4 linked regions of the Oreochromis niloticus genome follow. The protein of the gene in region 1 binds, or shares a complex with, the protein of each later gene. Links are inferred from orthologs where the notes say so. Each region holds a gene or a part of one and is shown on either strand. Other genes may lie near its edges. The genes, in order: prpf6, lsm6, lsm5 and lsm7.

What was found.
Region 2: prpf6 (region 1) and lsm6 share a complex: the UniProt entries of both Homo sapiens proteins name them as parts of the U4/U6-U5 tri-snRNP complex. The link is inferred for Oreochromis niloticus from reciprocal best matches to the Homo sapiens genes PRPF6 and LSM6.
Region 3: prpf6 (region 1) and lsm5 share a complex: the UniProt entries of both Homo sapiens proteins name them as parts of the U4/U6-U5 tri-snRNP complex. The link is inferred for Oreochromis niloticus from reciprocal best matches to the Homo sapiens genes PRPF6 and LSM5.
Region 4: prpf6 (region 1) and lsm7 share a complex: the UniProt entries of both Homo sapiens proteins name them as parts of the U4/U6-U5 tri-snRNP complex. The link is inferred for Oreochromis niloticus from reciprocal best matches to the Homo sapiens genes PRPF6 and LSM7.

Annotation. Positions count from the first base shown.
Region 1 is NC_031984.2:16,006,717-16,014,950, forward strand, and holds the start of prpf6 (pre-mRNA-processing factor 6), read left to right. Parts: upstream 1-4,455; 5' UTR 4,456-4,503; coding exon 4,504-4,691; intron 4,692-5,200; coding exon 5,201-5,363; intron 5,364-5,500; coding exon 5,501-5,619; intron 5,620-5,739; coding exon 5,740-5,818; intron 5,819-6,672; coding exon 6,673-6,849; intron 6,850-7,394; coding exon 7,395-7,523; intron 7,524-7,650; coding exon 7,651-7,745; intron 7,746-7,844; coding exon 7,845-8,001; intron 8,002-8,234. UniProt on the Homo sapiens protein: Involved in pre-mRNA splicing as component of the U4/U6-U5 tri-snRNP complex, one of the building blocks of the spliceosome.
Region 2 is NC_031971.2:16,285,577-16,293,647, forward strand, and holds the start of lsm6 (U6 snRNA-associated Sm-like protein LSm6), read right to left. Parts: upstream 3,219-8,071; 5' UTR 3,065-3,218; intron 3,052-3,064; exon of another isoform or gene 2,911-3,051; intron 2,744-2,910; 5' UTR 2,732-2,743; coding exon 2,638-2,731; intron 2,546-2,637; coding exon 2,432-2,545; intron 1-2,431. UniProt on the Homo sapiens protein: Plays a role in pre-mRNA splicing as component of the U4/U6-U5 tri-snRNP complex that is involved in spliceosome assembly, and as component of the precatalytic spliceosome (spliceosome B complex).
Region 3 is NC_031974.2:8,914,929-8,923,276, forward strand, and holds lsm5 (U6 snRNA-associated Sm-like protein LSm5), read right to left. Parts: upstream 3,276-8,348; 5' UTR 3,139-3,275; intron 3,028-3,138; 5' UTR 2,929-3,027; coding exon 2,892-2,928; intron 2,853-2,891; exon of another isoform or gene 2,734-2,852; intron 2,184-2,733; coding exon 2,088-2,183; intron 1,237-2,087; coding exon 1,209-1,236; intron 1,124-1,208; coding exon 1,051-1,123; intron 959-1,050; coding exon 926-958; 3' UTR 710-925; downstream 1-709. Other genes in the region: psme2 (proteasome activator complex subunit 2), read left to right, coding at 112-198, 386-466; late secretory pathway protein AVL9 homolog, read left to right, coding at 4,393-4,476. UniProt on the Homo sapiens protein: Plays a role in pre-mRNA splicing as component of the U4/U6-U5 tri-snRNP complex that is involved in spliceosome assembly, and as component of the precatalytic spliceosome (spliceosome B complex).
Region 4 is NC_031986.2:44,793,383-44,800,952, forward strand, and holds lsm7 (U6 snRNA-associated Sm-like protein LSm7), read right to left. Parts: upstream 2,945-7,570; 5' UTR 2,872-2,944; coding exon 2,866-2,871; intron 2,608-2,865; coding exon 2,517-2,607; intron 2,436-2,516; coding exon 2,364-2,435; intron 1,580-2,363; coding exon 1,437-1,579; 3' UTR 1,112-1,436; downstream 1-1,111. Other genes in the region: kelch-like protein 23, read left to right, coding at 3,205-4,174, 4,343-4,754, 4,880-5,183. UniProt on the Homo sapiens protein: Plays a role in pre-mRNA splicing as component of the U4/U6-U5 tri-snRNP complex that is involved in spliceosome assembly, and as component of the precatalytic spliceosome (spliceosome B complex).

The sequences.
Region 1 (8,234 bases):
AGATAATGTGGGTGGAGAAATGTGTTCCTGAGGTGAGAACTGCACCAATTCAGAATAGTTATATATTAATAATATGTAGTAAGGATATTGGTAACAAATCCAATATTATAGAGGAGTAATTTCTCCTGTTTCTGTTAATGTAGCATGGCTAGATCTACTGCTATTATTTTCAAATATATGAGGACACATAAATATAGTTTAAAATATTTTTTAATTGAACCACAATGGATAAAGAAGAGTAGTGTATGAGAATAATCACATTTTAATCCTTTTTTCTGTCACCCACATGTACTTGTAGTGGCTGGTTTCAGGGCAATAAACCAATCCCCCAGTCTCATTGTATTATCATTGTATTATCTCGAACACTATGTCTGTTATTATGCTCACAAGGGAACAGGTGTTGTTGTTTGTTTGTTTTTGTTTTTTTTAGCAGACGACTGAAAGGCAATGCAAAGTTGGATTTTGTGATATTAAATGACGAGACAAGAAAATAACATTAAAGTTATCTAATCTCTCTCTCTCTCTCCCTATATATCTATATATATATATAAAACACCCTTTTGTGTTTGGTCCCCTGACACCTCCACGATCAGAGAGAATCCAGGTTTATTCCACACTTTATAATGCTAAGAAATGGCTGAATCCACACTGCATCTTTCTCTGTCTTGGTCTCTCTTTCTGTCTTTTTCACTATATTTCTTCTCCTCTCCTCTCAAGAAATTCAGCAGCAGAGAAAACAGAAGGCATCATGAACCGATTCACCGTGTCTAAATAACCCCGCCGTCTCGAGCAGACAACAGGCAACGTGGCAGGAGAACAGCTTCACTCAATAATCTCGTTTATCTATTCACCCATCAGGCAAACAAATCAGTTGTACTTTGGATTGTGTTAGCTGTCAAATGTAATGCAAAAAATATGAGAAACCTCTTATCAAACCACAGTGAGAGTAATTCACATGCTTCCATTCTTCTCCCACACTGAGCAAAAACTAAATGCCTACAAGGAGACATGTAACATGGCATGTGTGCATAGGCCAAACAAGCCTTCTCCCACAGACTCGTGGCGATCCTATTACTGCTTAAGGACAGGAGTGGAGGGGGTCTTTTTCTTTACATAGCAATTAGCCTAATGCAGCATTAACTTTGACCTGCAATGTGCATTTGCCACGACTGCCTGAACTGTCAATGCATTAGTATTCACATCACAAAAACCACCACCGTTTTCCCCTCCTTTTTACAGTGTCGCAGATCCTGCCTTAGACTAATTATTGGACTATCCTCATTCAAAGCCTTGTTTTACTCAGTGGATCAATGAAATTCTATTTGAACATCTGTTGGCCAAAACAGCTGTAGATAGCCACTCCAAAAGGAAAGCCCTAATAGGAATTTACTGTTGTCCTTCCACAAGGACACTTCTCTTTGTTTCAGAATAATAAACAGCCACTAATCAGCTCTAAATAAATCATTTATCCTCCCAGGACTTTCTTCTACGTATGAAATGAGGCATTGTTAAGGTAGACTGCTTTCAGCTAAGACACAGTCATTGAGTTTAGTATGTCTGCACACTGAAAAATGGTTTTGTCTGTGTCCTATTTTGTGTTTTTTTCCCTTTGTCCACACTGTATTGTAAAATATAATGAGCTAATATTAACTCACAATGAATCACAGCAAAATGAATGATGTGTGTCTTTGTGAGTGTAGGTGTGTGCTTGTAGGTGATGCATTAAGCATATCAATAAACCTGTCATCTTGACATATGCCCTTCTGTGCTTCCTTCCTCCAAACAGCAGCCTTCTTTCAATTAGTGGACTGTAAACATGCTGCTTTTGGCTGAGTTGTTGCATCTTTTTCATTCTTGGTATCTTCCTATTAACCGCTGTGGACCCATTCTTTTGCATTCACATGACACTGTAGACATCTGGTGTAGCACAGGTTGAGGCAGAAAGTCCACTGGTTTCTCCATCCTGAGTTCTGTGCACTGAAAAAATAGATTAAACTGAGTTATGCATCCATGCAAAATGGCCCACATGTAAATGAATAAACATGCAAGAATGCACACATTACTGTATGCTTGAATGGAAATACACCCATTAAAATATTCACAATTACTCTCTTTGTAATTTCACTTGTTTAGAGCACACTTTATTCTTCCAATTACACTCAAGCATCAGTGTATCACCAGATCACAAATTAAAGTATTTATTATGAAATTAGAGATATTATTTTGTGAATCTCTATAACTCAAAATGCATTTTCTTGCTAATTGAAGTGATTAGTCTTTGTTAAAACAAAAAAATAGGCTGAGCCATTAAATTATTGTCTTTCAGCACTGCTTGGTTCTAAACAATGGCTTTCTATAATAATGACTAGGGGAAAAAAGGCTTGCCAGTCAAAATCTTGGTCTCCATTATGATCTATTCTCTTACAAACATATATAGGAAGTTGTCTTTTTCATGCAGATGAGTTGTAGAGGTCAAATGAGTCCCTTTTAGACTTCTGTGTCATGATGCCAAGTTGTCTATGATGCAGGTAAAGTAGGAAAAAAATGTTTTTTTTGTCATTTTTTTAAAACTTTATTAATGCAAGACACAGCTTCCAACTCACAGCTGCATTTACAGGAAGCATTGCCAAATGTTTTATGGCTGCACATCAAAGGAAATGATGATAGCATGATCTCTGGCGAGACCGCCGTTGCTCAGTCAGTCTTCCCAGCCCCGGAGCAGATATCCGCTATCTTCTGCTTCCACTGCCATCACAATTGCAGATTTGAATGTGTTTGTGTCTGCATGTGAGGTGGAGGTTTGTGGATTCCTGCTGGGTGCTTTATGCTTATGGAAACACACTTTTGTTACCAATATATAAGTCAGATTATTGGAGACACCTTTTCTATTCATTTAGGTATAGTGACCATTACTCATGCAGCAGAGAATAATGAATCAGTTATTGTGCAAATTAATCTTGGTACTACACGTGTGCTTGGATCAGGCTCTGAGAAATTCTCACTCTTAATATAGGCCAATACTTTAAAGACAATTTATCATTAATGAGACTGAAGTAGATTATGGCTCAGGACTATGAGAGACTGCAGATATACGATGTGGTGTTTTCTCTGCCACCTTTCCCTGTCAATTCAGGCTTGACATAATTCTGATTTCTATGTGTGACTATAAAAATCCTCTGGTTGAAATCAAACGATCATTGAAATAATCAGGGAAAAGTAAAATAGGCCATACAATAGCTGGGTGAAATAAAGGCTTGAGTTACGCTCCATGTTTAAATTAGTCCTGCGTGAGCTATATATCGGCTAATGTGCCTGACAGTCCATTTTCATCATAACATCTTCTCCCGGGAGTAATATAATGTCTGCCCTTCAGGCGATGTAAATGAAGAAAAATGTAAAAGCCTAAGCCGAGGCTCAGACTGTGCATCAGTGAAGTTAAATGTGATTGAAGCGCAGTGTTGTAGCCTATAGACTAATTTCATCTTATGGGAGGAAACCCAGAAATGTCATGTTAATATGTAATTACCACTATTACAGTTTCCTGTCTCAAGTTTGAATATCCACATTATATAGAGGATAATGGATATTTTTTCACTCATAATGGTAAATAGGTTGGGACTTTAATATGCTAACACATGTCTAAGTTAGTGTATGCATGTAAGTGTTCCATTTTGAAAATGCCATTACTGCTATTTTGCCACTGTGTGTTTCAGTTAGGGTGTTTCTGTGCCATGTGTCCCATCAGGTGGTCAGGTTCAGGTGGTCCATTTATGACACATTGTCATGGGAAAACAAAACCATAAAATAAATGAATGAAATAATGTGAGAAGTTTATTTCGGTAATTGATTATAAGGAACTGCCAGGATGTTTGTACCATTAGGGTTAAGTAGAATGAAGTACAAATATCTCAGAATAAAAAAATATGTAGCTTTTTGGGGTTTTCACATGTCAGATGATAGTTTATGCAACACCATCCATCCATCCACTTATTCAAACAGGCTTGTCTTTGCACTGTTGGAGGAAGGCACAGAGACGCAGGGAGAGCATGCAAACTCCTCAGAGAAAAGCTCCAGACTGAATTTGAACCCACGACCTTCTTGCTGTGTATCAACAGTCGGGCCCTTGAGTTCAATGAGTTTCCATAGCGGCATTATTTTTCAGGATGTGGTGCCCTCTTGTGACTTCTGTGCAAATTTCAATCTGCTGAAAACATGAGTAAAGAAATAAATTCATCCACATAGTCTCACAGCAAGTTGCATTCAAACCAAATCTAAACCAATAAATATTAACCGAATAGTTAATGTATAACAGTTTTGCTATAACTAAACTAAAATAGTATTGAATACATTGTAAAATAAAAATAGTAATAGTAATAATTAATAACCCGCCAGTCCTGTGGGGGCGCTGCCAGGCATTTCTAGACCTTAGGCCTTTTTTTTCCTCGGAACGGAAGTTCGACTGTTGTTTATCCGGCTCTGCATCGTCTCGTCGTGTGAGCAACGATGGCTAGCACTGGTGCAAAACAAGCGCCTAAAATTGTCTCCAAAACTTCTGCGGGAGGCACCGGGGCGGCGGGGGCTAGTGGTGGGCCCCCGATAATGCCCCTCGCCTCTCCGCTCATGGGGAAAAAGAAAAAGCCGTTTCTAGGGATGCCTGCTCCGCTGGGTTACGTTCCCGGTCTCGGCAGAGGGTGAGCTAACTTAAAGCTACATGCTGCTAGCCAGATTGACCCGTTTTTTTTCAGTCGTACTAACCCACGTTAATAATTAGTAAAATTTAAGTACAAGGTAGTTTACAATACATACATTAATTGGTTAATATATATATATAATTTATACGTGAATAAAGTGCATATCGTTTCCCTTACCATGGCAAGTACGCCAGACTATGAAGTTTTTAAATAGTTTAGTGGTTTTATGATGTAATTGCTTTATTAAACGTGAACTATTAAATTGAAATTTAATTCAAATAGAGTTAAATGTCAATATATGCTCTTTCTAAATCCATAGTCATCTAATATGTAATCTGTTTTAGACAAGCGAGCAAAATTTAAGTTAAAAAGTCATAGTGATCAAAATAGTGTTATAAGCATGGAAACGTATGTCACTGTGTTATAGAGAAGAGTAAAGATCTCGCGGTATAATTTTGGCCAGGCTGTGTTTATTTATGTCACATTTAAATTAATGCTTTTCCCTCCAGTGCCACTGGTTTCACCACCCGATCTGATATCGGTCCTGCTCGTGATGCTAATGATCCAGTGGATGACCGGCATGCACCCCCTGGAAAGAGGACGGTCGGGGACCAAATGAAAAAGAACCAGGATGATGATGATGAAGATCTGAATGACACCAACTATGATGAGGTATCTGTGATTTGTTGTAGATAAAGGTGTTTTTTTTCTGAGAGTTTAAATGATCAAGTCACAATTTTAAAGCCGATTTCTTTTATTATGAGCAGTTAATTTGATAATCTTGTCATACTTTGTTGTTTCTCTTGTAGTTTAATGGTTATGCAGGTAGCTTGTTCTCAAGTGGGCCCTATGAGAAAGATGATGAGGAAGCCGATGCTATATATGCAGCGCTGGACAAGAGGATGGATGAAAGACGCAAAGAAAGAAGGTTACAAAAAAGAAGAGTCTTTTGTTTAATTTTTATCAATGCACAGTGTATTTGTTTTCAAATATAATATGGATTTGATATTGCAGGAGTCTTTTGTTCATGGTTGTCGTTGTATTTTAGGGAGCTGAGAGAAAAGGAGGAAATTGAGAAATACCGTATGGAGCGACCAAAAATTCAGCAGCAGTTCTCAGATTTAAAGGTAAGAGATTGACCCTAATATTCCAAACCTCTCTTCTGCATCATTTATGGAGAAAACTAATGTTGTCTTCTTTGTGCACTAAAAGCATGTTAAATGCATTTTGGTTTTATTAGCTTTATTATCATATCTACAGAAGAAAAGGATTAATATTATTCAATGCAATTCTTTGGTTAAATCAGAATCAGAAGGCTTTTTTTAATCCCTGAGGAAATTATGTGATCAGTTTCTCCAAGACTGTAAGAACAGCAGCTAACTAAAATAAATTAAATATGTCAACATACTGCAAAGTTATGCAATATAATAAAATAGCTTTAATATACAAAAATAGCTTTAATTATAAATATCCCAGTATATTACACAAAAGAAATATATACGGTTGATATTGTGGTGCCCCTCTTGTCATACTGTGCTTTTTTGTTTTCTCTGTAGAGGATGTGCAAATAGTAAGCGTGTGCAGGTATTACAGCATACACTGTGCTTTAAATGGAAGAATTGTACAATGAGATAGCCACATACAGGATCGATTATAGTCTCTAAATTCATAATTTTTAAGCAATGAATTCCTGGGCTAAGATCTTTCTGTGAGATAAGCTTAGTCATAGCCTAGTAGTGAAAAGTGCCTTGCAAGTTTGTCTCTGAAACAGTGTTACCTTTTCTTCTTGTTTTACTGAGGAAATAAAATACTGATTAAACTAGAGGTGCTATTTTAATCAGTACAGATATTTGCAGATTCTGTGCAGTAAATCACATTTAGGTTAGTTACTCAGGTATAATCAAACAATCGTAAATGAAAGCAATGCTCACATCCCATTCTTTTCTCCAACATCTCTTTTTTTTTTACCATTTCTCTACAGAGGAAGCTTGCAGAGGTGTCAGAGGAGGAATGGCTGAGCATTCCTGAAGTGGGAGATGCCAGAAACAAGCGCCAGAGGAATCCCCGCTATGAGAAGCTCACCCCTGTCCCCGACAGCTTCTTCTCCAAACATTTGCAGAGTGGAGAGAACCACACCTCTGTTGACCCGTTGCAAGGGGTCAGTATAATGTGTATACAAATGGAAATAATTTTTGTAACTCATATTTACTTCCAAGTGCACTTCACTAAACTTCAGGGTGTAGTTTCACTATGGCCCAGCAGGAGTCAGGATATCTCCTTGGAAAAAAAAAACAAGTTACTCTCCAGTTACAGCAGTTTGCTCAGTTTTTGTCTGTTTTACAGACTGGACACCTGTTGCTACAGTAATTGGTCACATGAACTTTGTTGGCATTTAAAATACATTTGAAAGGGACACTTGATTGACCTGTGCATGCAGGTAGACGTCCATGAATTGAAAATAGAGACACGGCCAGCTGATTTAAAAAGTCGACAGTTGTTTAAGAGGTATAGCCTCTCAACAGAGAAAAAGCCATTGCTTGACTTTAAATTAAAAGATTGAAGTAATTTGTGTCATTTTGCATTGGTTAGAAAAGTGTTACATGATTCGGGTTTTTGTTTCAAGAGCTGTTTAAACGTGCCATGACAGACTTCTCACAGACTGTGTTGCTCCTCTCTGTTGACATTGTTTCCTATCTCTACTAGCTGGGAGGTCTGAACACACCTTATCCAGGAAGCATGACACCTGGTCTGATGACACCAGGGACCGGAGAACTGGATATGAGGAAAATTGGTCAGGCCAGAAACACACTCATGGATATGAGGCTCAGTCAGGTAAATGATGCATTACCTTGCGCAACTTTCACTTTTACTTTCTTCTAGGATTCATGCTGCTGCCATTATGCTGATAGAAACAACTTAACTATTCTCTATCCTGTGTCTGCATGTTTTCTGTATTCAGGTGTCTGACTCAGTGAGTGGACAAACAGTAGTGGATCCCAAGGGTTACTTGACAGATCTTAACTCTATGATCCCCACTTATGGAGGAGACATCAGGTAGAGAGACACTGACGGCATCAGATTGCTATATTTGTGTAAAAGAAGTTGCTCTGTGTATATGTGTTAAATCGCTTGTTTGTGGCTCTGCTTGTTCAGTGACATCAAGAAGGCTCGTCTGCTGCTGAAATCAGTGAGGGAAACAAATCCCCATCACCCACCTGCCTGGATTGCTTCTGCCAGGCTGGAGGAGGTGACTGGGAAGTTGCAGGTGGCCAGAAACCTGATCATGAAAGGCACAGAGATGTGTCCGAAGGTAAAGGAGGTTAAACAGTAAAATAAAACTATTAAATGACAAAGAACATAAGGATGCTGATGTTTTCTGGATATTTTGCTCAAATTAACCCTATAATCTCTAAGTTTGCATTTCTTAGAATATGGCATTAATATATCGCTAGTATTATAATGTAACAGCTGCTTAAATTTAAGACGTAACATTACTTCTTGAATAAGTTGCAAATGGGGACAATGGTTTGTGCTTTGCTGTTT
Region 2 (8,071 bases), on another chromosome or scaffold:
AATCTAATGCATCCTGAAAAAAAAGGGCATACCAGTGATTAAACATGAAATCTCTGTCTCAGGACAGTTTCAGTGATGTGAAAAAGTGTTTGTCCCCTTCTTGATTTCCTTTTTTTTTTTTCATGTTTGTCTGTTTTAGATCATCAAACAAATGTAAATATTAGGCAAAGATAACAAGTAAACAAGTTTCCAAATGAAGGTGTTTAGTATTAAGGGGAAACCAATCCAAACCTACATGGCCCTTTGTGAAAAAGTGATTGCCCCACCCTGTTATAACATAAATTAACTGTGGTGTATCACATCGTTGCAAAGTTTGAGTCGAGTTGAATTTCTCTAGCCACACTCAGGCCTGACTAGTATTGCGCCTGTTCTCAATCAAGAAATCATGTAAAGTGGAGTAGACCAAAATATCCTCAAAAGCCAGGCACATGCCAGAATCCAAAGAAATTCAGGAACACACGAGAAACAAAGTAATTGCAACCTCTTGGTCTTGAAAAGGGTTTAAAGCCATTTCTTAAGCTGTATGACTCCAGTGAACTACAATGAGAGGTATTATCCACAAATGGCGAAAACATGGAACAGCCTCAGTTTTGCCAGAAAACATTTTGATGATCCCCAAAACTTTAGGGATAATACTCTCTGGACTGACAAGACAAAAGTTGAACTTTTTGGAAGGTGTGTGTCCCATTACATCTTGCATGAAGCGAACAAAGCATTTTAGAAAAGGAATGTCATATACCAACAGTGAAAAGGTGTTAGTGCGATGGTCTGAGGCTACCTCAGGACCTGGAGGCTTGCTGTAGTAAATGGAACCATGAATTCTGCCGTCCAGCCACCTGTTCATGACCTCAAGCTGAAGCAGAGTTGGGACAATGATTCAAAACACACCAGCAAGTCCACCTCTGAATGGCTTAAGAAAAACAAAATGAAGTCTCTGGAGTGGCCTAGTCAAAGTCCTGACCTGAATCCGACTGAGATGCTGTGGCATGACCTTAAAACAGGCGGTTCATGCTTGAAAACCCTCCAAGGTGGCTGAACTTAAACAATTCTGCAAAGATGAGTGGGCCAAAATTCCTCCACAGTGCTGGAAAAGACTCAGTGCCTGTTATCACAAACACTTGATTGCAGTTGTTTCTGCTAAGGGTGGCCCATTAGGTTTAGGGGGGCAATCACTTTTTCACACAGGACCATGTAGGTTTGGATTTTTTTCTCTCTTAATAATAAACACCTTCATTTAGAAACTGCACTTTGTGTTTACTTGTGTTATCTTTGTCTAGTATTTAAATTAGTTTAATGTGAAACATTTAAGTGTGACAAACATACAAAAAAATAGGAAATCAAAAAGAGGCAAACACTTTTTCACACCACTTTATCTGAATGTCTCTGTACAAAACCATTGTACAGTTTGAGTTCGCTCCAGTCTGTCTATGCTGATCAACATGGAGAATATTAATACAAAGTTTCATAAAAATATAGCAAGACACAAGAAAATGCAATGAGTGAAAAAGGGCAGTTCCCAAGAGCTGTGTTAACAATGTGTTGTTTTAACAATAATTAATGAGTTAAAAATATCTTAATAAATCAGCTCGGGCATCAGCTAACAGCTACTGTCATTAACAGGATATCTACTGATTATTATCATATAATGATGTACTTCGAAAAATCAATGCAGGCAAAAGTTTAATTTGAAGACCAATTTAATTTGAGTGGGATTTTTTTTTTTTTTTTTTTTATCTTTAACTAATTATCACCATTTGGCTAACCCTCACAATACTTTCAAGAAGGCGAGAGACCTTTTCCACAGTTTAAAGAGAAAAAAAGTACTAGTGCAAATAAAAAATTAAAAAAAAAATATAGTAAAACACATTTCTGAGTTCAGTTTTACAGTTTCAGGATTCTGGTTACTGTTCACGACTGACTTTTACGCAGAGCTTACTGGAGCTGTACAAATTTATTTTATGAGGGAAAAAAAGGAGTTGTGTTAGACCAGAACATAGCTAAAAGGTTATGGCACCATACTGAACCGAGTCGTGTCATTCATAATGTATGCCCTCATTTAAACGGAATTAATAAGCAAGCACTGAATGTGAGTCATTATCAGACAGACCACAGCTTCCTGTTTTGAGAGGAACATCCTACAGAGAAGGTTACTTTTCTGGGTAAGTTGGCTGATCAACCTTTTTAGATCACACTTTAACCTGCGCTCCTCACCTGTGTTTGTCATATTTTCTGCTCCTTTTAACTGTCATGAATGAGTTGCAGTTTCAGACATTAAGAGAAAAAACTGATGGCCTCAGAAACATAAACAACCTGCATTTATTTTTCTACTCTATTTTATCATCATATTAATTATGCACTTCAGTCTTCTTACAGAAGACCTATACTGCCTCAAATTTTAATACCAAAGTCTACATAAAAGGGACAAGCTTACCATTGTTTCCTCTTAGGAAGGCATCTCCATATTTGTTCTTGAGTTGCCCGTTGACATACTCCTCTGTCTGCTCTATGGCGATGTTCATGTAACCATCTAAACAGGCCAGAACACCTGCAGGTACACAAACACACCGTGTTTTCCTTTAAAGTCATTACTTACCGATCAGTATTGGGGGGGAAACAAGTGGCTAGGCTGTTACGTACCTCTATAATCGACACCAGAGTTCAGTTTGACCACAACAGGTCTGCCAATGATCTGCTTCAGAAAGTCACTCGGGGTCTGCTTCCTCAGGCTCATTTTGACTGTGATCTGAAAGGATGAAAGATGAGCATTAGATACTATAGTAGCAATTTATTTCATGGAGCTACATTAGCGTGACAAAAGCTAACTCGTGTTCATGTCTGTAATAGTAACGATTTCCTAACGCAAACAGGCTAGTATCGTTAGCGGCTAGCTAGCTAACGAGTATAACAAACCTGCTAACCGACTATTTTCCCGTGAATCTGTTTGCGCAGCGAGGGTCGCTGTCTTTGTGAAAATCCTGCTTACATTTTATTGCACCCAACAACACAAGGAGAAACCCTTTAATTTTATCTGCAGCAGCAATATGTTTGTTAGCATTTCACTCACCAGACCGAGGTTTTCCAGACAATTGTATTTAGCATGGACGTGAGATTGACCAATCACAAGCGTGTTCTGTACGGAAAGAGGCTGAGGACAAAAAACTTAACTGATTGATCGCTAATCATATAATCAGGTATCAAACTGGCAACAAAGTAGCTATAGTTTTGTGATTAAATGTTTGCCTGAGCCTTCTCTATTTTTTGCCCTTTTTTTTGCATATTTGTCACATTTACATGTTTCAGGTCATCAAAGATAACTTGAGTAAATACAAAATGCAGTTTTTAAATTATGATTTCATTTGTTATAGGAAAAAAGCTTCTAAAGCTATCTGGTCCTATGTGAAAAAAATAATCCCTCCCCTTGTTAAGTCATGAATTAACTGGTAACTTTTCCCTAGTCACAGCCAGGGCTGGTTCCTGCCAGACCTGCTGAATCAAGAAATCACTTAAGTAGAAGCTGTCTGACAAAGTGTAAAAGGTGAAAGATTTCAAAAAGCAACACACCATTCCTCATTCCTTAATCTAAAAAAAAAAAAATCTCAAGAATTGATAAGAAACGTTACAAAGCTATTTTTAAGGCTTTGTGACTCCAACGAACCACAGTGACAGCCAAAGGTGCCACAGGCAGTTATTAGGTTTTGGGAAAATGACTTTTTCACGCAGGGCCAGCTTTCGATAGTCTTTTCCCTTAATCAATCAAATCATCATTTAAAAACCGCATTTCGTATTTACTCAGGTTACCTTTGTCTAAAATTACAATTTCTTTGTTGATCTGAAACATGTAAGTGTGCCAAAGTGGCAAAAAAAAAAAGAGGGAAAAAAAGGAATCTGTAAGGGATTAAATACTTTTCTCAGAGCATGCCGTTTTTTATGTGCTTAAGGCTCTTGCAACACTGTAGCCTTGTGTTCAGCATCACCTGTACTTTTATGTTCCCAGCCATGACAGTTGATGTGCAAAGAGAAGATTATGAAGAAAAAGGAAATATGAATTTTAGTCCAGCAAAATAATATATATATACATATATATATATCAGCTTCCTTTTTGGACCTTTCTTTTCCTCCTGTTAGTCATTAATTTGGAACTGTGCGTTTTCTATATATCATTTCACATAATTACCACCATAGGCTGAAAGAGCATGATGAAAACAAAACATTTGAATCTGGATTCTGGTTAAAGCACAGAAAATCACTACCCAAATAAGAAGAAATCAGAGCAATTTCTGGATGAATATTAATAATAACAACAGAGATAATGATGTTGGTACTTCATACCTCTTTGTCTTGTTAAATTAAAATATAAAAAAATCATTTAGGTGCTTGCCTTGTTTTAAAAATGCATATGATCCTGAGGCAGAATTGAGTTAAACTTAATGGGTGACATCAATATATATTATAAGCTATGATTTCACAAAAGTTTGGATGCTGTAAAATGTAAACAAGAAAAAAATGCAGTAATTTGCAAATCATTTGAAGCCTGTAATTAAGAAAAAAATACAAAGGCAACATATCAGAGTCTAAACTGAAAATATTATAAGACTATCAGGTACATGGGCAAAAAAATAAGCATACTGGAAATGTTGAGTCTGCAAAAAATCTGTGGTCATTTGTGGTACATAATAGCAATTAATCAATCAGAGAATCGATAAAGATTTCACCAAAATTTTTGCTGACGGGCCATGATCTATGGGCCCTCAGCTAACACTACATTAAAAATGGACATGATGCTTTAGTAGAAATCACTGCATGGGGTCAAGGTCCATTTTCAGTAAAATATTATTTGTCAACCATTCGTGCTCACATTCACACCTATGGGCAATTTTGAATCACCAGTTAACCTAACCCCACTAACTGCATGTCTGGTTGTCTGTGACAGGCTACTGACCTGTCCAGAGTGTACCCTGCCACTCACCCTGTGGTAGCTGAGATAGGCTACACCCCCTCTACGACCCTGAATTGGATAAATGGATGGAGGGAAGGATGGATGTTATTTGTCACTGCCTCAGCAAATGAAAGTTAAAACACTACCATGCAAAGAAAGTAGATTTTTATCAGCACATAGTTCAAAAGCTGAGATCTGTGATGGTCATGTGCATTAGTACACGCGGCATGTTTAACCTGCACATCTGTAGGGCACACAGGGATAAATACACATTTTCAAGCAACATATGCTATGCAGTCCAAATGATGTGTTTCTCAGAAGAATCATTGCTTATTTCAGTGAGAAGATGTCTGTACATATTTTGCATATTCATCATAAAGAGTAAAGTAAAAGAGTCTCAGTGCTAAACAGTCCTTCCTGTTTGTTTTTGTTACACACTAAAAAACAAAATAAAAAAAAATGGATCATTGCAAAAAACAAAATAAAAAACCCCCAAAACAATTCCAGAGAACACAAACAACGGAAATTATATATCAAGCAAGAACAAGGAAGAACTCTGTGGTCTAAATTACTGCAATTTAATTTAAGGTTGTGTTGTAAAATGTACAGGTGATGCAACACAGTGGTAAATATGCTTCTCCCTAAATGTCCATGAAACTACTCTGAATCTCACACGTTTGACTTTGATACTATTTAACTGCATTATGCGTAAATTTAACAGTAAAACTTCTACAGACCCTCACAGATTCTGGTCACTGTCTCTGTTATTGCAAAATAGTTGCTGTTCGACAGCTGAATGGTGACCAGATGCACACCGAGATGAAGTCAGATCTGCTAACAAGGAAGGAAACACCTGATGTGTGAGTACAGTCGAAAACATAACTGCCATCTCCTTTGAGAGCTGATTAGATTGGCCTGATTGGTCCTTCTACTTATTCATCGCTGGATGTTAATATCAAATCAAGCTTTATAATAAAAAACAAATAAATACAAAAAATGATTGATGACAGTGAAAGTGAATATTTTGAAGTTTCGGACTGTTTTTACAAACATTTTAAAATAAATTATTCATTATTTATCAGAATGAAATATATATCAAAATAGCACAAATGTAAAATTCTACATTAATCATATGGACAAAGTTTCATTTAATTTAATCAAAAAGCTTAACCTAATGTAATAAATTTCAATCTAAATTTTCAGTGGAAATCTTTAAAAGCTACAGAAGTTTACTTATATGTTAAAGTACGTTTATGAGTGTTTCTCACTTTGGGTTTACACATTTTTAAATCACTGTGGAATTTCTCTTGTTTTAAAATAGAAATAAATAAAGTGCATTATAGCTTTAAAAAAGTATAATGCAATAATAGTAATAGTATTATTATTTTTTTATTATTACCATTATTATTATTATTATGCTATTGGTAAGCTGTGCTGTGAAGGATAAGAGAAAGTCTACCATCTGATAAAAACTCTGGTTGTTGGGGTGCGTGACCCAAACACTGCACAGCTTGGGAGGTACATGAAAAATGGTGTAGGGGGGGAAATAGGGATGAAATGGTGAGGTGAAAGATAGAAGAGGATAGAGGGCACGAGGATGTGCCAGTACGTGTTAGCAGAGACAGAGAGGTTGAGAGAAAAAGAGAGAGAGAGGGAGAGAGAGAGGGGGATTGTGAGAGGTGGAATCATAAAGTACTTCTTGTGTGTCTAGACAGGTTGCTTGTTAGCAGGGCATGGCTAGCCCTGTGGAGGCTAGAGGTTAATTTGGTATCTGCTGCTGTGTTAAACTAAGGTCAGTACTACAAGTCCTTAAGTCATAAACAAGAGTGGTTAAGAGCCATGTATACACCTAGGCACCGGTTAATGAATATTCAATGAAGATTTTTTTCCCCCTTGTCCCTTGTTTCCTTTGTCGTTGCTTGCTTTGTAGAAAATTTTTGGAAAGAAAAAAACCACAGTTTTTCTCCATGGCCTTCAGAAATGACCTCTGCGTGCTAACATGTAGTTGTCCTTTGTTATCCTATAGTTGTAACGAAGAGTGGCTTTTTGCTTTTTGAAACGCGGCACGCTGATTATTCGCTTCCATTCTTGAACGCACTGAATGCAAATGCTCATTAGTTTTATCTCGTAGTATAATAAAAACCAATGATCTAATAAAAACAGAAAAAAAATGTCCAAGTCATGAAGTTTGTGGATAAAGCAAAACTTATACTCATGACCGGCATTTAATGCAGACGTTTTCTCGTGCTGATTTGGATCTTAGTGGAAATATAATGAGAAAATGTTTGAAGTGAGCTTACACGGGCAAATCGGGTATAATCCACAGGCTGAGAAAAGTGCTTCTGGCCTGTAACCAGCACAAAATCCACCAATGATGGTTAATAAGTCAGCTGAAATAGGGCTTAATTAAAACATTGACACTGTGGGCTGTATCTGTGGTTAACCTGTCAGTGATCGCCAGACTGTTCTGCTGCCTATGCATTACATGTGTAATGTATGTCTAAGATGCCAAGTCTTTTTTTTTTTACATATGCTGTAACAGCAGATTCAAAAAATAATAAATAAATAAACACATGCAAATACAAAAGCATCAACAGGCTTTGTTTTTGTTTCTAATTTCATTGTTTTTGCTTTTAATCAGCACATGTTCTCAGGTAAGTAGCAGATTTCCCTTTCTGGTGTCAAATTGCTTCAGGTGGTCTTAAATGTTTGATTGTTTTTCCTCACTGTATTCTAATTTTGTATTCATTTGCGCTTCATGTGTCTTATATATGTGTGTGTTTTATACATATATATAATTTTGTATTTTAGAGTAATGGATACCTGCTCTTTGGCACCTGCCTGTGTCAGTGCCTGATATTTATCTGTTACAATAATTTGCTTAGGCTGAAATCAAGTGAAAAACGTATTGAAATAAACACTGACTAATGACCAGATTGTTATTTTTAACGCCTGTATTGACAGATTTTCACAATCACCACATCATTATTCTGCTAACAAGTTAAGGTAAATAAGTGAATTTTATGTCAGGCAAAAGAAGCAAGTGATGTATTTTTAATGCTTGTTTATTCATATTTTATTTTATTTTTCTAGCAGACTATGTTTATATAAATTTTATATGTATATGTTTCCCAA
Region 3 (8,348 bases), on another chromosome or scaffold:
TGGTTTTGGTCTTTTTCATCATTGAACACCCCAACAAGCCTCGAGCCTTGAAGTTTATGAAACAAAAAGGAAATCTTAAAAATGCCTTTAACTCTTTTCTTCTGCCCTCAGATGGACTACCGCTCACTCGTTCACGAGAAGGATCAGGCCATCTACTCGGATATCAGAGTGATCGTTCTTGACATCCGCGGCTTCTACGTAAGAAGCCTAGATTTATATTTTCCCCCCAAACACTTAAACCATGGAAAAAAATGGATCTTAAATAAAATATTTGAGTTTTTCTATAAGATTGAAAAACTGATTTTCAAATAGTTTAATCACTAACAATGTATTTTTAGCTGCTGTAAGTCGATTATTTACCTGCATTTCTGCTTGTTTTCCTCAGGCCGAGCTTTATGACATCATCAGCAAAAACCTGGAGAAGGTGACCAACCCAAAAGGAGAGGAGAAGCCCTCGATGTACTGAGGCTCCCGGGGAACGGGAAAAGCCACTGGGATGAATTTAAACAACCTTCAGCTGCATTGATCACCTGCTAAACTCAATATCAATCAAGTATCCGGCTCTTTGTTTGATAAACATTTAAAATAAATACATAAACAACTGGATGGGGGGTTTTTAGTTCTGCTGTTTCATGGTAACACTTTGGTTTTATACCAAGATTTGCACTAAATTTTAAGTTGTGTGGTAAAGAATGAATAAAGAAAAGTGTTTTTCAGACTGTGTGACATCCTCAGATTTATTTTTAACAAAGAAAAACTTTTCGGCATGTGCACCTCTCATCAGTGAGGAATCTTATTACAAAAATATCTTTCTCATTCAGGATCAGGAGGGAAAAACCCAAAGAAAAAACAAGACATCAACAATAATAATTACATAATAAAGTCAGGAACAGCAACACAGGAAGATTAACCGGCCTCCAGCCATTTATACTTCTGGTCCTTCTCCACCGGGGATGAGCTGCAGAAGAGAAAATATGCCGCCATAAATCATCCTGTCAAGGTTTAAAACACGGGGGATTATAGGACATGATCAGATGTTTGTTTGGTTACCATGGTGATGTTATTGCCATTGAGGAGGATCTGGTCCAGCTTGGTTATCCTCCTCCCCTCTGGTGTGATTTCACTGCAACACATTCATTTATAAATATAGTCAGCAGTGAACCCGAGAAAAGGTGTAGTTAGAGTAAAAATGTAACAGGAGTACTTACAATTCTGTCACATCCTCCAGGACCATGTCTGACACACACAGTTAAAGACAAACTGTGCAACAATAAACAGTAAAGAGACATCAAAGTGCAGCTAAAAGCTAGAAGGTTTACACAAACGAGCAGGAGGATGTGGAGACGTGGACGTGAGCAGTACCAGCGCCCATCTACAGAAGCCTTTCTACTTCCTATTAATCCCTAATAATTAATTAACTAATTCATTAATTAACTGGCGGCCACCAGCGGTACTCCTCATCCTAGTAGACACAACTGTGGTATCAATTCAAAATCCTATGTCCCCTCATTCTCAAGTTATCGCATTCACAAGAATTTCACAAAACTTACTCTGACCTTGAAGTCAAGGTCACCGAGATTCAAACTCCAAGACTTTTAGAAGGTGCACCTATGTTATCAATTTGAAAATCCTAGCTGACTTCCCTCTTAAGTTATCAAATTCACAACCTGTTGTTACTTTAATTTGCACCAATTTGGCAGAAATAGATTTATGATGGTTTATTACTCCTACCTGGACAGACTGACATGCCTGACGTTGAACTCTGTGTTGTACTGTGATGACTGACTGTTTCCTTAAATTATTTGATCAGTCTATTTGTCCCCCATTGTACAGATCTACACATTTTTTTTTATGCCAATGGTATTCTGCAAGTGTCCTCTCTCACATTTCTAAATAAAACAGAAACAAAAAGCAGCACGATAGTTCACTGCTTCTCATTGCATCAGCTCCACCTCACAGCATGGATGATTTCAAACAGTTTATGGTGTGTACAGAACAATACAGTAACATCGGTAACACTTTGTAAATTGTTGGTGTTTAGGTGTGCACTAACTCGCTCATTTGGACACGTTTTAATTAAAAGATACTGACGAAGTCATCGAAGCCCAGCAAGGTGCCGACAATTTCTTTGTCAGTTTTCATGACGATGTGAATTCGGGAGCCGATACATTTGTCCACAAGCTCTGCAAAAGGAAAAATACAGAGAAATTACACATCCTGTAATTCAGGTGGGTGTTTCTACTTCTTACACTTCACTTAACCGCTTTATTAACTGGTGTCTATCTTTCTTAAGGACTCAACAGTTAACCCTTTGAAATACCATAAATATTTAATAATAGCCTCCTAGTCACATGGATATAACATTAAACCGATCCCCTTAAAATAAAATAAAAAATAGAAGTTTGACTGGATTACAAATATGCAAACACATATTTTAAAAAGCATCACCTATAACTAAATAGAAATAAAAGGACGACAATGTATTTTGAACATGCCAGGGCAAATCTGTGAATTACGTTTTCATTAAGTGCAATGTAACACATTGACACAGATAAAAGCAGCTTTTTTTCGTATTATTTCTTTAAATCACCATTACAAAAATGATAGTTTTTTTTTTTATTTTAACTTTTCAGCTAGAAACTCCCCTCTGACACTTTAATAAACAAACTAAATCAAATAAGAAGCATTTTGTTTGTGCTTGCAGAGAGTAAAGCCGCAACGTTAGCTCCCTACCGGCGTGATGCTAATGCTAACTAGCAAACATCTGCCTAGAAAATGATTTTCAGTGAGCCGCGGCTTAAACTGCGGCCGCCGCACGATGACTCGGAACAGCCTCATTTAAACCCACAGACGTCAGGAACAAAACACAGCATCATAGAGATTTTACAAACCGAGCGGGAGCAGCTGCGACGGGTTTGTAGCCGACATGTTCAATCAAGAGACTTCCCTCTACAAAGCCAGAAGTAATCGACAGAAGAACCGAAGTGGCAGCCAGACAAGATCAATCAATCTAGAACAATTTCGTCTCTGGAGAAACAAAAAACATCTTCAGTCTACTTTTTAAAGAAATTCAAACATTCATGGTTGGAACCAAATATAATACACTTCTTTTTAAATTCAAACAAAACACACACACACCTGAGGACGATATTAAATTATTCTGTATGTCTCCACACGATGGCGCAGGTTGTGTCGAGGAACACATGACATCATTTTTGTGTTTAAAAAAGAGAACAGAACAGAGATCAAGATAATTCACCCCTGTAAAATCTGACCGTGGATAGTTATGCTTTATTTCACCGTGACAGGTGGAATTTAAGGTGACATGCACGTTTTCTATTGAGCTCGAAACACAAGAGACTAAGCTAATTATCTAGTCTTTAACGGCAGATTATCCGGACTTTATTCTAGGGCAAGATGTCTGATAACATCCAAGGAAATTCCAGATTGAAATGTAGGAAAATATGAAGGAAATGTTAGTCAACTCGTGACTTTTTCCAAAAGAACTTCAGCCTGATTGCATTTAAAGCCTTTACATTCATTTTGTCCTGCTTAAGACAAAAAATACACTCAATATAATTGTTAACTGTTATCTTATTATATTATGTTACATTGGTCAACAGTGAATTAAAACTTTAATCGGTCATTTAAATGTTTTTATTACGTTATATTAATAACATTATACAATTGGAAATCTCTAGTAATTTATACACGCCTTCCTGTTGTATATGTTTATAACTCAACTTTTGTTACATAACGAAAAACACTGAAAGTAGGTAGGGTAGGTAGGGTAGCTAAATGCCAATTAGTTAGCCTAAACGGGATTAGCTAAAAGGTTATTAGATAAATGCTGATTAGCCAGTTAAAAGCTAATTGTATGCTAACAGCTAATTAGTCTGCTAAAATATGACTAGCTAAATTATTGTTTGATAGTTAGCTAAAAAGTAATTGAATAAGATAGGCAACTAAACAGTTAGTCAGCTAAAAGCTAGTAAGCACAGCTTAGCTAAATTTTATTTTAAGTTGAATTTAATATCAATGCTGAAATTTTGAAAACTGTAATAAAATGTTGGCTTTTGTCTGCACACTTAAGAAAGTATTGTCTAAGTAAATTTGCTCCATTGACTCTACTTAACTGAAGACTGTCCTTGGGGGGGCAATTAGCTGTAAGCTTAAATTTCGGTAAGCGAAAACGGAAGTGCGCTGCGGGGGATGCTCTTGCCCAATTGGCCAGTGAGGACTAAGCGGAAGAGAAAATCATCTCTGCGGTGCTGCCGTCTGTCTGTGTCACATATTCAGGGAGATACAGACAGAAAAGTCGGCCTCGGTTATCTGTGTTTACATCCAATTCCGGAGTTAAAACAACGATAGACTGCGGGTACAGCAGCGGGGATGGAGCCTCAGGGCAGAGACGAAGGGAAGGGGCCGGTGCTGCACATCGTGGTGGTTGGATTTCACCACAAAAAAGGCTGCCAGGTACGTGAACCTCTGCTCCCAGCTAACATCGGCTAACTGCTAACCAAGTCCTCACATTGAGTTGACATAAAGGTGCATTTTCACTAAACTTCTGTACGGTACGAGTGTCACCTTACATCTCTAATATGCGCTTGTTTTTTTAAACAGCGCATGCACAGTCCTGCAGTAATGCGGACATTTATAAACATAAAAACAGTAAAAACTACAGACTTCTCACTGCCTGGCTTCCCTGTCAGTGAAGAGGGGTTAAGAACAGCAGTTTGCTGTGGGCTCCCAGGGTTATATAACACGAGGTCTGCTGCCAGCAGTTCAGTGTTTTCATCTCAGGCTGCAGCATACTCATCATCACTTCTCCTGGACCCTGCTTTTGTCTGGGTATGCACAAAAATGGAACAACAAGCCGATTAATCGATCAGTTCAGGTTTTCTTTGAGCTGTTTAGAAACATTTTCTTGGTATCATGTCATTGTTTACTTAATATTTTAGGGCCTTTTTGGTAAAAAGAAGACACTTAACTGTCACTATTATAGGAGTTGTTGTTGTTTAAAAGCGAAAAATATGTTTTGTGCCCAGCTGACAAGACAGACAGAAGGCATTACTGACTCATTATTCTAGGACTGCACTAAAAAGTTTTAAAAACTCCTGCTCGATCTTGCACTGGCCCTTTACACGACTTGTCAGTTTGAAACAAAGTCTCTCTTTAAAAAGAGCCCCTTCTGTTTAAGCTTGCTATCTCTTGATTGGCTGACTTCCAGAAGCTTGCTGAGGGGCAGGAGCACTCAGTGTTTACCTTTTAATTTTTTTTTAAATCTTTTTAAGGATTTTTACTGCATATGAAACTTTTTGACACTCCAACGAGGAGGTTTACAAGATTTCACATTTGTAGCAGTTGTTTAATTGTGAAAATAATTTGTCTGACAAATCATCACCTAAGACCAAATTGAACTCTGTGTGGCCGTTAATGTAAAGTGAGCTTAACACCCCCGCTTTACTGATTCTAATTTTTCCTCACATTGTTGTTTTGTTCTTCTTCTGCTGCTGATTCAAATTTCATTAAATGTGCAGTTACACACTGAACTTCCTCCTCCTCCTCAGTGGTGTTGTTGTTGTCTCTGCTCTCCATCTGTTTTTCTTTCTGCGGTTTTGCAAACAGCTGCTGCTCAAGCCCAAAGATAAAACAACAGCTTTCCTGATGTAAAGATGAGACCAAAGCCCTGGCAAAGCACCCAGTTTGCAGTCTTTGTTGCCTTTAATGGGCCTGCACTCAGGGATGGAGGTGATGGAGGTTATCTGATAAGGGTCAGCGATCTCCTGCTGGGCGGCACAAGATTGGGTTCCTGGCTCTTTAATCCGTTTCTCTGCCTCTCTTTCACAACCGCCCTCCTCCTCTTATTCACCTGCTGTCCATCTGCTTGCCTGGCAGGATTTCGAGGACTTCTACATGTATTTTTTATTGGAAACCTTAATCAGTAATGCAGCAGGAACATCCATCACACAGAAATATGTTTACTTATATTTTCCCACTTAATTTTAAGCATGTAAATACAAATAAAAATGCACAAATGAGCCTGATTAAAAACATTGAAAGCATGTTTTTTTAATTCCTTACATCTGCAAAGTTTATTTTTAACAGTACATTAAGAAACATTGGCACATACATTACAAATCTGCACCCTAACATGTTTTGCAGTTGGCTCAGTGTGTTTGTTTGGAGGATTACATAGTAACTCATGGACAGATTTGTATGAAAATGCCACAAAATGTGGAGCTTGGTCCACTGCGAGATGGGACAAAATTGGACATTTCATGCACATCCATAGACACTTTAAAGATGTGGCTAATGTAAGGTAGAGCTGCCACAAACGATTATTTTGATAGTTGACTAGTCACCGATTATTCAGTGTGTAACTGCATGATTAGTCGACTAATCAGATCATGCATCCATTGGACGTAAAACGTGCATCTTATTGCACCAGCATGCATCTGCTCTTATATAACTATCATTAGCTTACAGCTTGAAGTGTTTAAGGTATGTGCTAACTAAAAACAAAGACAAGATGATAGTTTAATTAAACTTTTAATGAAATTTGCAGATTGTCTCAGTGAAGTTTAATAATGAACTCAGCCATCTGTTCTTTGCTTTCTAAAATATAAAAGGACATTGGAGTAAATTCTCGACCATCTCACACTTCTGTTTAATCAGTTTTCTGTGTGACGTTTATTCAGCTGTGTGAAAACTATAACTTTAATCTAACTTTAATCTTTAAGCAGTTTTCTGTTCCACTTGTGCGGGTGTTGCTTTCATGAACCTCTGTCACTGTGCCATGTAGGTCCACTGTTTTGGACCCACCCCAAGTACTTAAGCATACTGGCTTAAGTGTTTGGGGGTCCAGGCTGTAACTCCAAAGGTTTTCCTGAACAAGTTGAAAGCTGGATTTTTAGAAATATTTCCTACATTTGAAATTTACTTTGTCTGTATTGACCAAAAGAATAGTTTAATGTCAGCTCCTCGCTCTCTGCCTAAAAATATAAATGAAAAATAAACTCAATTCAGGATGAATAAGCTCAGTAATGGATGCATTTCTGTTCAGAGCATCACTTCTCTGGGGTGAGGAGTGGCACTCTGCCCTGAGGGAGGATTTCCCCATCAAACATTGAATCATTGCTGGTGGGTGTGTCCGAGGTGTTCAGGACCAGCAGGTTTCCAGTTAGTCTTGTTGGAGGGTTTTTGAAGTTTAATTGTTAGTTATGATATTTCTTAGTAGTTTTGCTGTCCTTCTGTAGTGTATATTTAGTATATCTCATGAAGTCATTCATGCATTAATCGATTGGTAACATTGCATTCTTTGTAGTTAAATTACTTTACTTCTCTCTCACTACTTCATGAAACAGGAAATGTGATGTGTATATGAAACTTTCTAAGGTACACTTATAGTCACTGTTGCTGAGCGTTAGTAATTATTTCAAGTGCTTTCACATATGGGGACCTCCTGCTAATTAGGAACTGACCCAGTAGAGAAACGATCAATGGCAGTGGAGAAAGGAGCAAAGCTGATTAAACTAGATGTGAAACATGCAGTTCTCTTTGTCTTGCCATTATAATGAAGTTTGATTACCTGATAGTAATGCTGTTTCTGTGTGTGGCAGTGCGAAGTGATGTTAGGAACTGATTTTGATCTCTGTTGTGTCCTGGCTCTCCCCCGAGGTCTCCTCGCAGGTGGACTTGCCTGAAACAGCTCACCTTGCAGGCATCTGGGTTAAATGCCTGAATGTCATATATCCTCCTGATGTGGAGGAGCAGCTCTACACTCTACTCTTTCGATCTCTACTCGCAGCTTGTGGCTGCTGGTGAGGGTGTGAATGTAGACCGACCAGTAAATCACCTGGAAAGTGTTGTTCGGATAAACTCAATTATCCTGAATACCACATTTGGCCTAGATTCTGGAAAAACTGGACAGAAAGTTTGGACAAAAATATTTGAAAAGGTGTGGGGAACATCTGTTTCGAACTTTAAAAATGATTTTTTTGCAGAAAGTCAACCAGAATAATTGTTAAATATAAACTTTCAGTCCCTTCTGGTGTTTAAGCTACTTGTCTGTCTCTGAGAAATGGAAGAATATTATAGGTAACGACCAGTAATGTAGAGTGTGTTTTTACATTTATTGGGTCTTCGGTGTTCTTCACATTGAGATGTTGTTTTTTTTTTTATTGACTGCCCCCATGAGTCTCCTCTCTTAATCCAAAGCCTTCTCTGATGTAGTTGGATCTCTTTTTGCCACTCCAGTGACACCAAGTTGGCTTGAGGCTTTGGAGAGTGATTGCTCATAAATCCTCTGCATCATAGGATGTGCATGGTATTTGCTTTGCAGGCCT
Region 4 (7,570 bases), on another chromosome or scaffold:
CAGCATAGATAGTCCACGTCCACAGACACTGACACCCCCCTGTAACATCAGAGATGGAGCCTTTGGAGCTTGGTGCCCACAACAAGCCCTCTCGTCTTTAGTCCAAGTTTTCAAATAAGAATTTTAAATTCAAATTCCATCACACTGAGTTTTCCGCCAGAGAAGGCCGGGATGTTTCTGGATCGTGTGGCTTTCTCTTCGGATGATTTCTTCTTCTCTTCAATGTGCATTTGTGGATGACGCAGTGTTTTTGAACCCGTGCAGTGATTTGCACAACAGGCACATGTCTGTTTTTAATAAAGTTTTTAATTTTTGGCATTCCCCAGATTCGTGGCCTCTTTTGATGACATATTGAGTCTTTAAGTTTTAAAATTTTCAACAGTTGTTTCTTACAACTACATACACACACAACTTCTGTTTCGTAGCTGCCATATCAACTTTTCTGAAACATGTTGCTGCCATCACATCTTAAAATGGCACATTTTCTTAGAAAACATCACGTTTAAATTATTTATTATGAATAAAATACAGATTTATGAAATTTGCAAATCATTGTATTGTTTTTGTGCACATTTTAAAGAACATGCCAACTGTTTTGGAATTGGCGTTGCATTATTAAGCGTTTGACGTATTTTTTTGCCGGCTAAGCTGGACAGCAAGCAGTGATGCTCAGCTGTAGAGCAGTGGGTCCAAAAGTGTGGAGCGAGCCACAGAAGCTGGAGTCTGGATAAAGGGAGAAAAATAAAGCAGGAACTCATTTCAATAAAGCCGTTTTTAGGAAGGATAAATACGAGACTGCTGATGCAGTCACACCTGTGTCTGTATCTCTGAGTCTTTGCTTGGTTTCACTGAATGATTAAAAACTAAAAGTTTGGGGTGTGACTTAGTTTTTCCTGACATGTGGAATGGCAGAGAACCCGCGCCGTAGAGGAACACGTGAAACTCAGTGTATGAGATAAAAATGGAGCCATATCTAACTCGCAGCAGCAGCTGAGTCATGCTGACGATTTTCAGGAATCTCTAAATCACATTTAAAGTGGTCGATTTCACAACTGTAATTCTGAATGTAAAGCTGTGCAGCCAGGAGAGTAGAGCAAAACTTCCAAAAGTCGGCATAATTACATTTTCACTTTATTTTCTTATCAAAACAACAAAGAATAGTAAAAAGTTCACTTATTCTGGATAAAAAGAAAATGGTACTGTTTACACATCCCACATTTATGGGCTCTTTACAACACAAATCTTTACAAATTTGCACATCAGACTGAAATAAAAGTGAAGTGCATTCAAACGTTTTTTTGCTGCTTAACTAAATCGGCTTGGCTCCATTAATGATTACCGTTATTGTTAAAACGAAATAAAAACTAAGGGAAAGAAACAACTAAATATTCAAGCGTGTACATGTACGTGTAAGTGAGCAGGGGAGAGCTTGTGTGTTAGCCGTCCTGCTGCTGTATGAACGGGTTTGGTATGGCTTCCATGCCATCCTGAGGACAGATCAGCACTACGGAGGTTCCTCTGCAGACCACCAGCCCCAGCTGCCTGGTGTCTTCTGTCAGCTTCAGCTGGTCATCTGGATCTAAACATAAGAGTTGCAGGAGCACACAAGTAAGCGTCACATTATCTACAACAGCAGCCGATGCTGCACGATCAGTTTAAATATATGGCCTGTATTTATAAATGGCCTGTATTTGTATAGCACTTTATTAGTCCCTAAGGATCCCAAAGCGCTTTACACATCCAGTCATCCACCCATTCACACACTGGTGATGGCAGCTACGTTGTAGCCACAGCCACCCTGGGGCGCACTGACAGAGGCGAGGCTGCCGGACACTGGCGCCACCGGGCCCTCTGACCACCACCACCATCAGTTTTTTCAACCCTAACTTCACTGTGGTGTCAAAACCACCAACTAAACTTTAATTTAACTCAGCTGGGCTCACACTTGCACCCACACGCTGACATGACTTTAGCACAGAAACTCCTCAGTGTGACTGAAGGCTGCAGCAGTCATAGCTCAGCCGACCACCAGCCTCAGTGTGAGCAAAGCTTGGTTAAACACACAGCTCGACTCAATATATTAAATAAAATTTCCCAACTATGGGACCATCTAAATTCTTTCATCATATATTCATCATCACCAGCAGTGTTACTTTACAAGTCTGGGTCCTCCTTGAGTAGATGTGATCACAGCACCACTCAGGTTAGTCTGGGCTCTGCCTCAGTGTTGCAAATGATTCATTTGTGTTCAGGTTAAAGGAAACGCAAAACACTTTTCAGTGCTGGCGCAGTCTTGTGTCATTCTTTGTCCCTGTAAATCCATTTTCCCCTTCCATGGTCTTGACATTAAAGCGCACACTTACCGCGCATGTATTCAATAGTGCCGTCCAGCACCAGGTTCAGCAGAGGGTCAAATCCTTTAAGGACACCGCTGGCTGAGGAGGAAACAAATACATGGTGTAAAGTCTCCATTAGCTGCTTACCTGTTAGCTTGTTATCATAACTAATCCACCTACCTTCTCGTCCTCCTTGAAACTTTACACGAATCGGCTTATCGATGTATTTGGACAAGTCGAAGATGCTCTCCTTTTTCTTTTTGTCTTTATCCTGCGCAGAGAAAACAAAACACGCCGTTTGTGAGTCGCGTGTGTGCTAACCGCGCACACAAACACCAGCTGAGCATGAGCCCAGTTAGCTAGGCTAGCCGTGTTAGCTAACGTGATACAACAAAAACACCTTATATTACTTATAATGTGCTGATTTACATCTGTGGTTACGGCTGAAACACACACTCACGGGCTAACAGCATATCTGACAACGTCAAAGGGTGCAAAGGTAGAAAAGTATTTGAATGCACGAACTCACCGCCATGTTAGCTGCGTGACACGGAAGTGAAATTTCGACCTCAAGAATGTTCCACCAATCAAAACACCGAGCGCTTTTACTTGACGTCACTGCTTTTTAAAAATAGTTTTATTGACTCTTCATGATTTAATTTAATATGGATGGTATCGTGAGTTAGTTTTTATATTATAACTCACAGTTTTATAATCAGCATCTGCTTTTGGATCTGACCTCCTTTTCCTTTGCCAGACGTGGGTCGAGAAGGGGAAAGTCTATTAATACCACCAGCTGGTGTGTTGGAGAGCAGAGGGACGGGGAGCCGTGTAGAAGACAGGAGGAGGGGTGACTGTTTGTTGTGACATGGCTGACAGAGGTGACCATGAGCTGAAACTGCAGAGCTTTGAACTGACGCTTGTATCAGAAGAAGAGGATGAGTCTGCTTCACATGTGAAGGACTCTGAGGCTGATATAACACCTGATGCTAGTCTACAAGTAGAAGGAGAGATTTTTTATGTCAACCGCCAACATCTGGCCCTGCAGAGCCCTTACTTCAGGGCTCTGTTCTTTGGCTGTGGGTTGGAGAGCAGCAAAAGGCAGGTAGAGATTAAAGGTGTGAGTCTGCAGCATTTCAGGACCTTGATGGAATATACCACAACATGCAGCCTGTCTTTGGACAGAGAAAATGTTACGGGCATCCTCGAGACGTCCGACTTTTTACAGCTGGAGCGAGCCAGGCTGCTGTGCTGTAAGTTCCTGGAGCGTGAGCTGCACCTCAGCAACTGTTTGGGGATGATGGCCTACGCCTGGCAGCTGGGTTGCACTCAGCTTCATGCCGCAGCACGACAGGTGGTGCTCACTCACTTCTCTGCTATTTCAGCTGAAGAGGATTTTCTGTCACTCTCAAAAGAGTCCGTAGCAGATCTACTTGCCAGCGATGACCTAACCATCCATAAAGACGATCTGGCTCTGGAGGCAATACTGCGCTGGGTGTCATTTGACCCTAAACGAGAAGAATATTTCCTGGAGCTCATTGAGCTGGTGAGGCCCGAGTCTCTGTCCTTGCCTTTTATCACTGAACTCTTGACCAGAATGAAAAGCTCTGACCCCAGAGCCAGGCTCATCCTAAAGCTCAATGAACATTTCCCAGCATCTTGGTCAGTGGGCCGGTCAATGAGGAGGACCAGGGCCAGAGAGACCCTGTTCGTGCTGGGCGGGCCTCATGATCAGGAAGAACAGGCGCTGTACCAGTATCACCCGATGAATGGTAGATGGCAGAGCTGCGCGCCTCTGCAGAGGAAGAACCTCACACAGTACTCCGTGGCTGCAGTGGGTAATGGATGCATAATGAAGATAATATGATAATGAAACTGGCAAAAGTTAGATTGTGCTTATTTTTCATGTGCAGTATTTTTAATATTCTTAAGTTAGTTTTTATTATCTTACATGAATATTGGACATTACATTTTCACAGATTTTTGTAAATTTCCTTTTTATTTAGGAGACAGTGTGGTCGTGACAGGTGGCTACTTCCGGGATGTTCTGTGGTTCAGTGTGGATTGGGTCCGGATCTACGAATGTGGGAACCAGCGCTGGGTGGACGGGCCAGCCCTGCAGAAGTCCAGACACAGCCACTGCTCCATAGGGCTCGAGTCAGTCCTGTACGTCCTGGGGGGAAGTATGGACGAAGGTCTTGTGGATGATGTAGAAAGGCTGGTCCTTGGGTCAGAGGAGGGTTGGGAGGCAGTGAGCCCCATGGTCAGGGCCGTAGAGAGGGCAGCCACTGCTGCTCTGGGGTCGTGTATCTACGTGGCGTGCGGCCTGGATGAAAACGGCGAGGTTTATGGTGGAATTCAGAGGTATGTGGTGAAGCAGGATCAGTGGGATGTGGTCTCCTACTCTCCATTTCCACGGTGAGTATCTTTCTGATACTGCCAGGTTTACATTCTTATGAAGTTTGAAATGTCAAAATAAAGGATACAGGATGATTAGCTGACAATTAAACAGAAAGATTCATATTTTTTTAATTCTTCTTTAGATATGACCTGGTTGCCACGGAGCTCAACAGTGCCCTCTACCTGTTCGGGGGCCAAGCCCTTCGTTTTGACATGGAGACAGATGAGTGGATGGTGCTGGAGGAGGAATGTCTGAACAAGAAGTTCTTCTGTGGCTGCTCCTCAGTCACTGGGCAGATATACCTGGTCAGCGAGAGAAAGAGTAACAAAGCATTCCCAAACATGGTGCTGCTGGACCCTTACATAGACACCTGCATTGAGGTCGATGATGCCATACCCTGTCCCGTGCCCCTCAGAGGGTGTGTCACCGTAAGAATGCTCCCATGATGCTCTATGATGAATGTGGAATATTGTGCAAATCTCTCGAGCCATCCCTCTTTCTTTATATTTGGTCAGGAAAATGGGAAATGGGTGCAGCAACTTATGTGCAAACATGAAGGGAAAGTCAATATGTGGTCTGACCACCTTTAAAAAGCACAGGCTGAACTCTCAGGCAAGCTTTAAGTAGTCTTCAGGTATAGTTCTCCAGGCTTCTTGAAGGACATGCAAAGCTCTTCTTTTATTCCATTCTCTACTAAGATGATCCCAGAGATCAATAACGCTGAGTTCCAGGCTCTGTGGAGGCCAGTCCATGACTGATAGTGTTCCAGTGTGTTTTGTTCTATCAGGTATGCTTTTACTGCATGGTTGTAAAGTGTGGTGAGAGCAGGAAGCAGGCGGAAGAGTCTGAGCAGGTGGAGGTGTAAAAGTCAGTAGAAGCAGAATACACATGTGTGAATGAGAGGGAGACATGCAAAGAGCAGTGATAGTGAAGGTAGATCAGTTTAATATCAACCATCCAAGAAAAAGGAGAGTCCAGAAGAGAGTGCAGTCAGGGTGGAGTGGGTGGAGACGAGTGTCAGGAGTGATTTTAGACAGAAGGATAGAAGCAAGAAGCTACAAGACCTGCTGTGATGTATAGGTTGGAGAGACTAGCCCTGACAAAAAACTAGAAGCACGTCTGGAGGTGGCAGAGTTAAGATTTTCATTTGGAGCGACGAGGACTGATGGAGCTAGAAGTACAGTTGGAGCTGCCAAGCAGGAGGCAAAGAGGACGACCTCAGAAAAGATTCATGCAGGTAGTGAGGTAGGACACCCCAACACCACTGGCTGAGACTCAAACCGTGACAGAGCCTCCACTGTGTTTTACAGATGGCTGTAGACACTCTGCTGTACCTCTCTCCTGACCTCTCCTGACCTCTCCTGTACACACTGGCCATGATTTGAACCAAACATTTCAAATGTAGATTCACTCCACAAGACTCGTTGCCACTAAGTTTAAGTCCAATTTGTGTGTAATTTGGCAAAGCTCAGCCTTTTCTCCCTGTTTCCTTTCCCTAAGAATGGCTTGTTGACAGCCACCCTTCCACTGAGAACATTTCTGATGAGGCTTCAGCGAACAGCAGATGGATCAGCTGACGGGCCAGATGCATCTCTCAGGTCCTGTGTCAGGGCTTTGCTTGTGTGTTTTTTTTTCATTTAACTCTTTAGGACAGGACTTTCAGAGACTGTTCATGTGCTGTAGACAGGCCCGCCACCTCTTTAATCCTCCACTTGTCCAATTTGTTCAGATGTTTAAGGACACACTGCACAACATAAAAGTGAATGAAAAAGCAGCCAACCTCCAACCTTCATGAAGCCTGGAGCAATATTGCTCAAGAGCACTTTAAAAACATACCGAGACAGTCTGTCACCTCGATAGCAAAACATAAAGAAGCTTTTGCACAGTACTGTGTATGGTTACCTGTGTGTGTGCGTGTGTGCGTGCGTGCGTGTGTGTGTGTGTGTGTGTGTTCATTTGTATGAACAAAATGTAAGTGTTTCATAAAAGTTTGACTCAATTTGTACAAGTTTTATTCAGAAGTCATTTATTTAAACTTTTCAAGTTGTCACAAATCAACACTCATAATAAAACAGTCTTCTTAAAAACAACCTCCCGGTGGGTCTCAGTCTCATTCACTGCATCGACCCTTTTAGCGCTCCAGCGTTTCACTTTAAACCCCCTGTTGTGCGGTGGGCCTCAGTGACATCACATCCCTGCACAGACACGCCCCGTTTCTAGCCCTATCACAGCCATCGTTACATAAATGATGACTGGATGTTCACCCAGTCACCTTCACCAGTTCCCACTAATACAGCGGTAGTGAATTACATGATGTGTTCATCTGCAGCAGCACGGTGGGAAAAGACATGTATGCAAGCATCAGAACACAATCTGGTAAATATTAAAAGATACAGCTCCTAATATCTCTACATTCATTTTAAACAGGAGCATTTCATCTATGTATTTAACTCCACTATCTAAAATAGCTCAATAATGCCCATCTGTGTGAATCAGGTTCATGGCTTCCAAAGGTAGAAATGACAACGCAAAAACACGTAACACACGTTACAATAAGGCCTTTCCTGTGTGTTGTTTCAAAAAAGGCAACCCTAGTAGCTCACAGACTTCATATCATAGTGTTTAAAACACAGCAGCCAAGGCACAAAACTAAAGACCCGATTAGGAAATCATGCTGCCTGTGAGAAAAAGACACGATGCACAGACACACACGGTTCACGTCCGTGTTTGTAGAAGAAATACTTTTTGTAAAGGCATCAGAAAGGGGCAGCGTCTGCTTTGTGCACCAGGGGGCGCCACAGTTCTCCTAAAAAATCTAGCTCTGTCGCAGAAA